Oryzias latipes: one gene and its partner. The protein of the gene in region 1 purifies or fractionates together with the protein of each later gene. This does not show direct contact. Links are inferred from orthologs where the notes say so. Each region holds a gene or a part of one and is shown on either strand. Other genes may lie near its edges.

Region 1 (4,192 bases):
CAAAACACTCACTGTGATCCAGCACAAAAGCGATTCTTGGCATCTTGATTAAAAGAGAGCAGCCGCTCTGTCAGTTTTTTTCCTCTGGCAGACGAGAAATCCCCGTTTACCAAGTATCAGCACCTTAGTTTAAAGCCACAGTGGGATAAACTAAATCACGTTGATCTCTGTATGACCAATTTAAAAAAAACTTTAAAATGCAGTTTTAAAAATGAATAGAAATCAGAAATTATCCTGAAGTATTTGATTTTACTTCTTCCTCAAACACATGGAGGTAAGTCAGGCATTTGATGGATCAAGGGCACACTGTTACAACATGGACCTTGGAGAGAAGGCTATCCAATAGAGAAGAGCAGAACTGAAGATTTTTGGTCGAGTCCAAAGAAAACCAATCAATTTAAGTGATAATTCTGAAGAAAAGAAGTCGGCGTGCTCATGAAGGAATTCCACAACATTTGTCATGTTCGTGCAGAAACACATCCTCAAGGACAAGAAGCAACAGTTTTTGGATTCTTTGTTGGTAAGGTAGACGGAGTTCTTCATTTGTGCTCAGTAGATGCCTTGGGCATTTTTGTTTAACAATGTACCAGCAAGCGGAAACTGACATGTATTAATTACACCCCATAAAGACAGGAAGGAAATCGTGCTTTATCAAGCCAGGTTCAAGCTCAGGTTTGCACAAAACAGTAAAAAAAAAATCAGTTTTCTAGCATCATGCATCATAAATAACTCTATTGTAAGATTGTATAGATTAAATACAGCTAAGATAGTAATGGAAATAAAAAGAATAAATCATTACTGCTACTACACCAGCTAAAGTTAGGTGAAAAGTGAACGATTTCAGCCCATAAAGGCCTGTAAAGCAGTACCTCACAGCTGATTAATGTCAAGAATGGAAGCAGTGCTGGAGGTTACCACTGGGGGGCAGTAGAGGGACATCAGGTCTCAGAATTTCACTGGCCGGTCTTCCTGCTCTGCCATTTACCCACCAAGCTTTGCTGTGCAGATGGACCTAACTCTTTAAATAAACGTTTCAGTCAGATTCACAGTTTATTCTGCACATATTTTATTATAAGAAATACATTTAGATTTGCAGCAATTGATTGTACTGATAAGAAGGGAGTGACTTTAAAACAAGAAGAAAGTAAACAAATAGCTCTCACCAAGAAAGTAAAGCAAATAGCTCTCAGCCATGGGTAATCCGGTACGTCTGTCTGTATATTAAATGTTATGTGGATTTTAAGTGGTCAATTGAACAAATTATGATATTTAAAACAAAATAATTAATCTACATATCATTTTATTTTAATCGATTAAAAGAAATTGATTTATGTCTGATATCGAGTGTGGTCAATCTGTTTTACGAGGTTCCTTTAACGCATCATGGCACTGGCATCTAGCCTAGCCTAGCTAACCTGGCTAATCTGATTTATCGTCTCAGTTAAGCGCAGGAAACGTGGGTCAGGATTACCAGTTTTAGTTATCCTAACTCGCTTTTTGTTGCTGTGTAGATTAAAGGTGCAATTTATTTATTACATCGAGAATGGCATCACTGGGGGAGCCTGTGCGACTGGAAAGGGGTAACGTTAATTGGCTAACTGGCTTTATTGTGAAACGAGATGGACACACCTAGCTTACATACATAGCATTGCTTGGTTAAAACAAATGGTGTTTTTCATGTTTTATTTGGATAACGTCTCGTTTAAAGTATGCTTTGGACCACAAGTGTTTTTATGTCGTCGAGTTACATTAACTATTGCTTAAGCGTTGTATTTGGTTTGCTCTTTTTAGCTAACAACAGAGATTGGCCAGCGCTCTCATTTGACTTCGGCGTCCTAATGTTGTATTTCATTTCTCTGACTTTTTGTTCGTTTTTAGAAAATAAAGATAAAATTAAGTAAAAACTGTCGATATTTTAGTTTTCATTGTGATCAAATCTAAAACATTTTAAAATTGGGTTTGAACGTGCCCATAAGTACTACTAATGTCGTCCTGAAATCACCTCGTTATTAACGTCGTTAAATGAAAAATATAGTTTTAAATAAAAATGGTTAGCAAGTAAGAATGACTTATCTAGTTGGCTTTAAGTAAACTTAGGCAAACGTTTATATTTTGTTGCAACTCTACTTTTGCCTTAATAATAAATACTAGCTTTAAATTGTTTCAAGAACATAAGGACAGAGTTAAACTGATACGTTTTTAACCAGTTATCAGTTCTATATTATTTACTAGTCTTTATGCATAATTTTATTTTTAATTGCTAACTTTGACAGATATCAGCATAAAAAAGTACGGTAACCGAGTTACAGGTACAGGTATTTGCAGTTCTGTTTTGATTGAGGGACCATATTTAATTTTTATAAATTAGAGGTTGGTTTCTTTTTTTTCCCTCCTTTTATTTATTTATTTATTATCAATATTTTTTATATATTTTTTACCATCAGTCTTTGTGGCTGTTAAGGAGTGGCTTTTGTAAAAATGGAAACCACTGTGTGGGTATCTTGTGTGATAGATCGTAGCTGATTAAAGTGGAGTTCCTGATTTGGACAGTAATAGGAGAAATAAAAACTATTGTTGTTGAGACTTGAAATCTGTGAACGTGCTGTACATGTTGTTCCTTGTAGATATCAACCGAGCCATTGAACTTCTGGATAAGCTTCAAAGGACAGGGGAGGTTCCTCCTCAGAAGCTGCAGGCTCTGCAAAGGGTCTTGCAAAGTGAATTCTGCAATGCTGTCAGAGAAGTGAGACATTGCCATCACTTGTCTTTTTTTCTCCCCTATTATCAAGATTTTTTTGTTCATTTTATGTATTTCATGTATGCTTAGGTATATGAGCATGTGTACGAAACTGTGGACATCAACAGCAGTCCTGAGGTCAGAGCCAACGCCACAGCTAAGGTTTAATCTCTCTTTCTTTTATTTAGGTTCACTATGTTTCCTTAAAGAAGATGTGTTTGAACGGTTGGTATTGTGTCTTGAGGACTAAATAACACTTTCCTATTTGCAGGCTACAGTGGCAGCTTTTGCAGCAAGTGAGGGACACTCGCATCCGCGCGTGGTGGAGCTGCCCAAAACAGAAGAGGGTCTGGGCTTTAACATAATGGGTGGCAAGGAGCAAAATTCTCCAATTTACATTTCCCGGATTATCCCAGGAGGCATTGCTGATCGACATGGAGGTCTCAAAAGAGGCGACCAGCTGCTCTCTGTCAATGGCGTGGTAGGTTCATATTAAAGAAGTCCAACTGTGGTTCTAGAATAACACTAAAAAGGTTTGTTTGTATTATTCTGTGCAGCAACTTAGAGAACAATCTAAAACTATCAAAAACCTTAATTTAGTGGCCTATGCACAGGTTTAGGTATTTATAATATAATCTAGTGGATCATTACTTTATTTAACCGAATTAAAATCCATTGAGAACAATATATCTTTTTCACAGCTGACCAGCAGCAAACATTAAAAGTAGTTAAAACAGAGAAAAAGGACAATAAAAGTCCAGTTTTCAAATAAAATGTAAAAAAGTGTGTTCATAAAACAGGTGTTAAGGGTAAAATTGATACAAATCAGAACAGTGACAAATTGGAAACATTAGAAACATAAACTAGCATAACAAATTAGACACAGTTTATATTTAAAGCAAATATTAACAACCAAGCCATGATAATCTTTTTACACATCAAAGTAGACCATTTTGAATAAATAGCTTTGTGAATCTGCAGTTGTGTTTTTCACCTCTGAAAGTACTGACCTAGTGTTGCTTTATCTTTTCTCTACATTTCTATGACAGTAATTATCTAAAAATCATGAACCTTTTTTGTGCCTATTAGCTTTTAAAGTCTCTGTTGGAGCCATTTGTCTGAGTTTAGGTTATTTACTAGATTTCGTGCATGCATGCGCCTGTCATTCCTTGGCCATGCAGCTGATCTGGCTTCCTATTGGTTAGGTGCATTTTGGGAGCTGCCGTGTCTTTTATTGGCATTTGCTTTTTGGATTTTGAACTTGGGAAGCACGGCAGCACATTAATCTTAGACCGTGTTTAGAACATGTTATTGTCATAGTTAAGACGTGTTCATGCGCTTGAAAAGTATTTTTTGTGGTTTGTACTTTATATTTTTATTGTTCAGTAAGGTGCAAGAAAATAAATTACATAAAAGGAAGAACAACTTTTTTTTATGAAGCACGCATTAAGACAG
Region 2 (3,567 bases), on another chromosome or scaffold:
TGCCGCTGACCTTCAATCCTGTTCTTTCTTTCCTCTCTCTAGATGATCCTCCACCTGATCCCCGCTCTCTCTACAACTGAGTGAGCCTATGTAACGGATCAAAACACCACTTGGAAGAGTTGCCAGATAAAGCCCCCCAAGCAAGCAAAAAGTGACAGTACACAGCAAAACCTGAATCGAAACAAAGTAAAAAAAAAAAACCTTGTTTGAACAAAAAATTCTTGTTTTTTTGTCTTGCATGAAAAATTATCTTTTAAGAAAGTTCTTCAACAAATTGTCGAAGGGAAAATCTTAGTTTGATAGGTGAAAACCATTACTGTCACATTACTGGCCTTTCAACAAGCAGAATAGTGTTACCAATCGATGAATAAACAGAGTGGTTTTGGCGAAATGAACAAAGAATTGGGAGAAGAAGACGCTAAAAGAAAAACGATGTTGCACACAATCATAAAGCAAAGTTGTGGGCGATGTTTAGTGTCTATATTTTGCACGTTTGAAAGGCAAACAAGCACAACTTTACACACAAATGCCTGCAGTAATTGTTTTAAAGAGAAGTTGACATAGCAAAAGATGACAAAAAGAAAGCTTATTTTCTGCTAATGTGAATTTGTTTGACACAAGAAACAACTATAAAGAAATAGGCTATCCCACATTCAGCGCTACAAAGTTTGTAGTTTAAATGACACACCAGTTAATTTATCTAACGCTGACATTTGGTCTTTTTGTCATCAAAAAGTCACATTTTTACCATCAGCAGAGATACAGATTTGAGGCAACAGCCTGAACATCCCACCTCAAAGGGTTTATATCATGCATAGTGTACTTTTTGAGCTTTTAAGTTCCTGAAGGTGCATAACGGTGTGTAAACACCTACAGATACCAGCCGGTCTCCTTTGCGCAGCTCTCCAGAAAGGTCAGCTGGCCCCCCAGCTAAGATGAAGGAAATAAAGATGCCCTCTCCGTCCTCGCCACCCACAATGTTGAATCCCAGTCCGGTCGCCCCTCGGTGCAGAACCACCTTCCTCGGCTCCCTGTGGGGCAACCATAGCTATAAATTTGTGGAGGTCAGAATAAAATAAACAAAAATCAAGAATGCAGCCTCATCTTCCTCTCCAGTAGGCCAGAGGGTTACAAAGCCCACACTTGCAGTTACATTATAGTCGTCTTAATCCTTTATAGCTGAAGCCGAGTCTGTTTAGGCAGAGATTACTTTGAAGGTCACCTCATGTTTCTATCACAGAGAAACCCAGACCAGTTAAGAAAAAAGTAGCTGTAGCAGTCAGATGATATTTTTCTCTTGCATAAATTGTGATGAGGTGGTTGAATGAGGCTTTAATTGTAGGGTGGTAACATTAGGACAAACAGCTAAACATTGGGAATGATCTGTGAATCAATCAATCAACCATTTTGAATGAATATTTATGCGCGTGTTCTGCCGTACTCACCGAGTGACACCGTCGTCGTCTGCTAGCGGGCTCATTGGTGTGGGCGAGTAGCATCCCGAGGATCCTCGTGGTTGAAGCTGGTGACTTACAAAATTGGGGGGGCTGATATGATTCTCCATGTGCTGTGAGTAAGCTGGAAGAGACAGAGCATTCGTGAACCAAAAACGTGTGCGCCAGTAGAAACACCCATTTGGATGAGATGGGAGCTGCAGAATAGGGGGTAAAGTGAACCTAGGAAACTGGAGACGGTCTGATCGGTTTACAGCAGACAGGTGAGCTCCAGCTGAAACACCAAAGGAATCCTCTGCAGTTTAAACTCCAAACAAACCTTTTTGTCTTATAGAATCACAATTCCAAGATTCAAAACCTTGCTTTTCATTTCAGTCAATTAAACAACAACATTTTGTATACCTTTTTGGATATGCATTTGATTGAAAAAAAAAAACTGGGGAAAGATGAAAAACAGATGAATAATGTAAAAACAGGTCAAACAAATAAGTAATAAACATAAATAAAGGGAAGTGCAACCAAAGGAAGAAACAAAAAGCTTTTTTTACTACTGTATGGAAAAAATCCTTTCGTAAAAATACTGAATACAAGGTTCACGTCACCAAGGGTCTATCTCGGGACCGAGCCTAGGGTTGGCCTTCCCCCGAGCTCACAAGGAAGGTCTACAAGGGGCTGGTGCCGCAACAACCCAATCCTCAAAAATGGACTAATCATCGGGACATGGCCTGTTACCTCCCTAAGTGGGAGGGACCCTTAGGTTGCAGAAGGGTGAGGGTCCTGGGTAAAGATAGTTGGGCATGCGCCTCTTCAAAGTTTGGACTCTAAAACCCAACCTTTTGAGAGGGCTAGACTCTCAGGAGAAGCAAGCAGTTCTCTGCCACTACCGTCTACAGTGTGGGTGAGGAGCTGTTGACCTTGAACAGGGAAATGCTGAGAGGTGGAAGAATCTCCTTAATTCTGTTGACATGATTTCATAAGAAAATAGTATCTGGGGAACCAGAAGTGGGCCAATCCGTCCCCCAAGCTGTAGTCAAATGGAGAGTGTCAAAAAGCACATCGGTTGCAAGGTACTGGAGACAGATGAGGTCCACCCTTACTACCTCAAGTCTCTGGATGTTTTGGGAGCGTCTTTGACGGCATTCCTTTAGGACATTGCCTGGAAGTTGGAGACCTCTGATCTAGCAGATCAGGGTGGTGGTCCCTCTTTCAAGAAGGGGAACCAGAGGTTGTCCTTCAACAAGAGGGAATCTCACTACTTAATCTCTTTACCCTCTCTTTTGAATCACACGCAGACCAAGTTACAAAGACTGCCTTTTATCACCTTAGAAATGTTGCCCAAGTGAGATCCTTTCTCTCTAAAGCCAGTGCTGAAATATTACTCCATCCCTTTATAACATCTAGGATAAATTATTGTAATGCTCTTCTTTCTGGTGTTAAGAGAAATACTTTCAATCGACTGCAGCTTGTTCAAAATTCGGCTGCATGCCTTTTAACTAGAACCAGAAAGAAGGAGCACATTACTCCAATTTTGAAGTCTTTGCACTGGCTCCCAGTCAGCTTTAGGATCGCTTTTAAGGTTCTTTTATTAGTTTATATAGGTTTACATGGACCTGGATCCTCATTTTTATCAGATTTACTTATAGTCTATGACCCTCCCAGAGCCCTCAGGTCCACACTAAAACCCACAGCGAGGCCTCCTTTCAGCACTGTGGGCCTCGCCTGTGGAACAGCCTGCCTGCCTTCAGCCACTGTGGAGGTTTTTAAGAAAAAACTTAAAACACATCTTTTTACTTGTCCACATGTTTTTACTTGATTTTATAAAACAACTAATTTGATTTGTTTTGATTTTAATGTTGGGATGTGTATGTGTTGGGTATTTGTGTGTTTTATTAATTCATATATTTTTTATTATTATTTGCATTATTAGCATGGCTTTTTTAAGTTAAAAACCCGATGTTATGTACATTCTGAGAGCAGGCAGCTACGCGATAACGTAGCACACCGGATGACCATCCAGGGGTAGTGTTGTCCGAATTTGAAGACACTATTTTTCCATAAACTTTCGCTTGAAGGGCTAAATGTAGGGGCAGAGAGAAGCCGTAGGGGTAGGGGA

What was found.
Region 2: the proteins of lin7c (region 1) and discs large homolog 1-like protein purify together in Homo sapiens (affinity purification with mass spectrometry; 4 studies listed by BioGRID and IntAct, counting the BioPlex papers as one, with this or other methods). This does not show direct contact. The link is inferred for Oryzias latipes from reciprocal best matches to the Homo sapiens genes LIN7C and DLG1.

What each region holds. Positions count from the first base shown.
Region 1 is NC_019861.2:17,902,450-17,906,641, reverse strand, and holds the start of lin7c (protein lin-7 homolog C), read left to right. Parts: upstream 1-1,369; 5' UTR 1,370-1,543; coding exon 1,544-1,580; intron 1,581-2,624; coding exon 2,625-2,743; intron 2,744-2,827; coding exon 2,828-2,899; intron 2,900-3,008; coding exon 3,009-3,218; intron 3,219-4,192. UniProt on the Homo sapiens protein: Plays a role in establishing and maintaining the asymmetric distribution of channels and receptors at the plasma membrane of polarized cells.
Region 2 is NC_019875.2:12,823,981-12,827,547, reverse strand, and holds part of discs large homolog 1-like protein, read right to left. Parts: intron 1,579-3,567; coding exon 1,446-1,578; intron 1,032-1,445; coding exon 875-1,031; intron 1-874. UniProt on the Homo sapiens protein: Essential multidomain scaffolding protein required for normal development. Recruits channels, receptors and signaling molecules to discrete plasma membrane domains in polarized cells.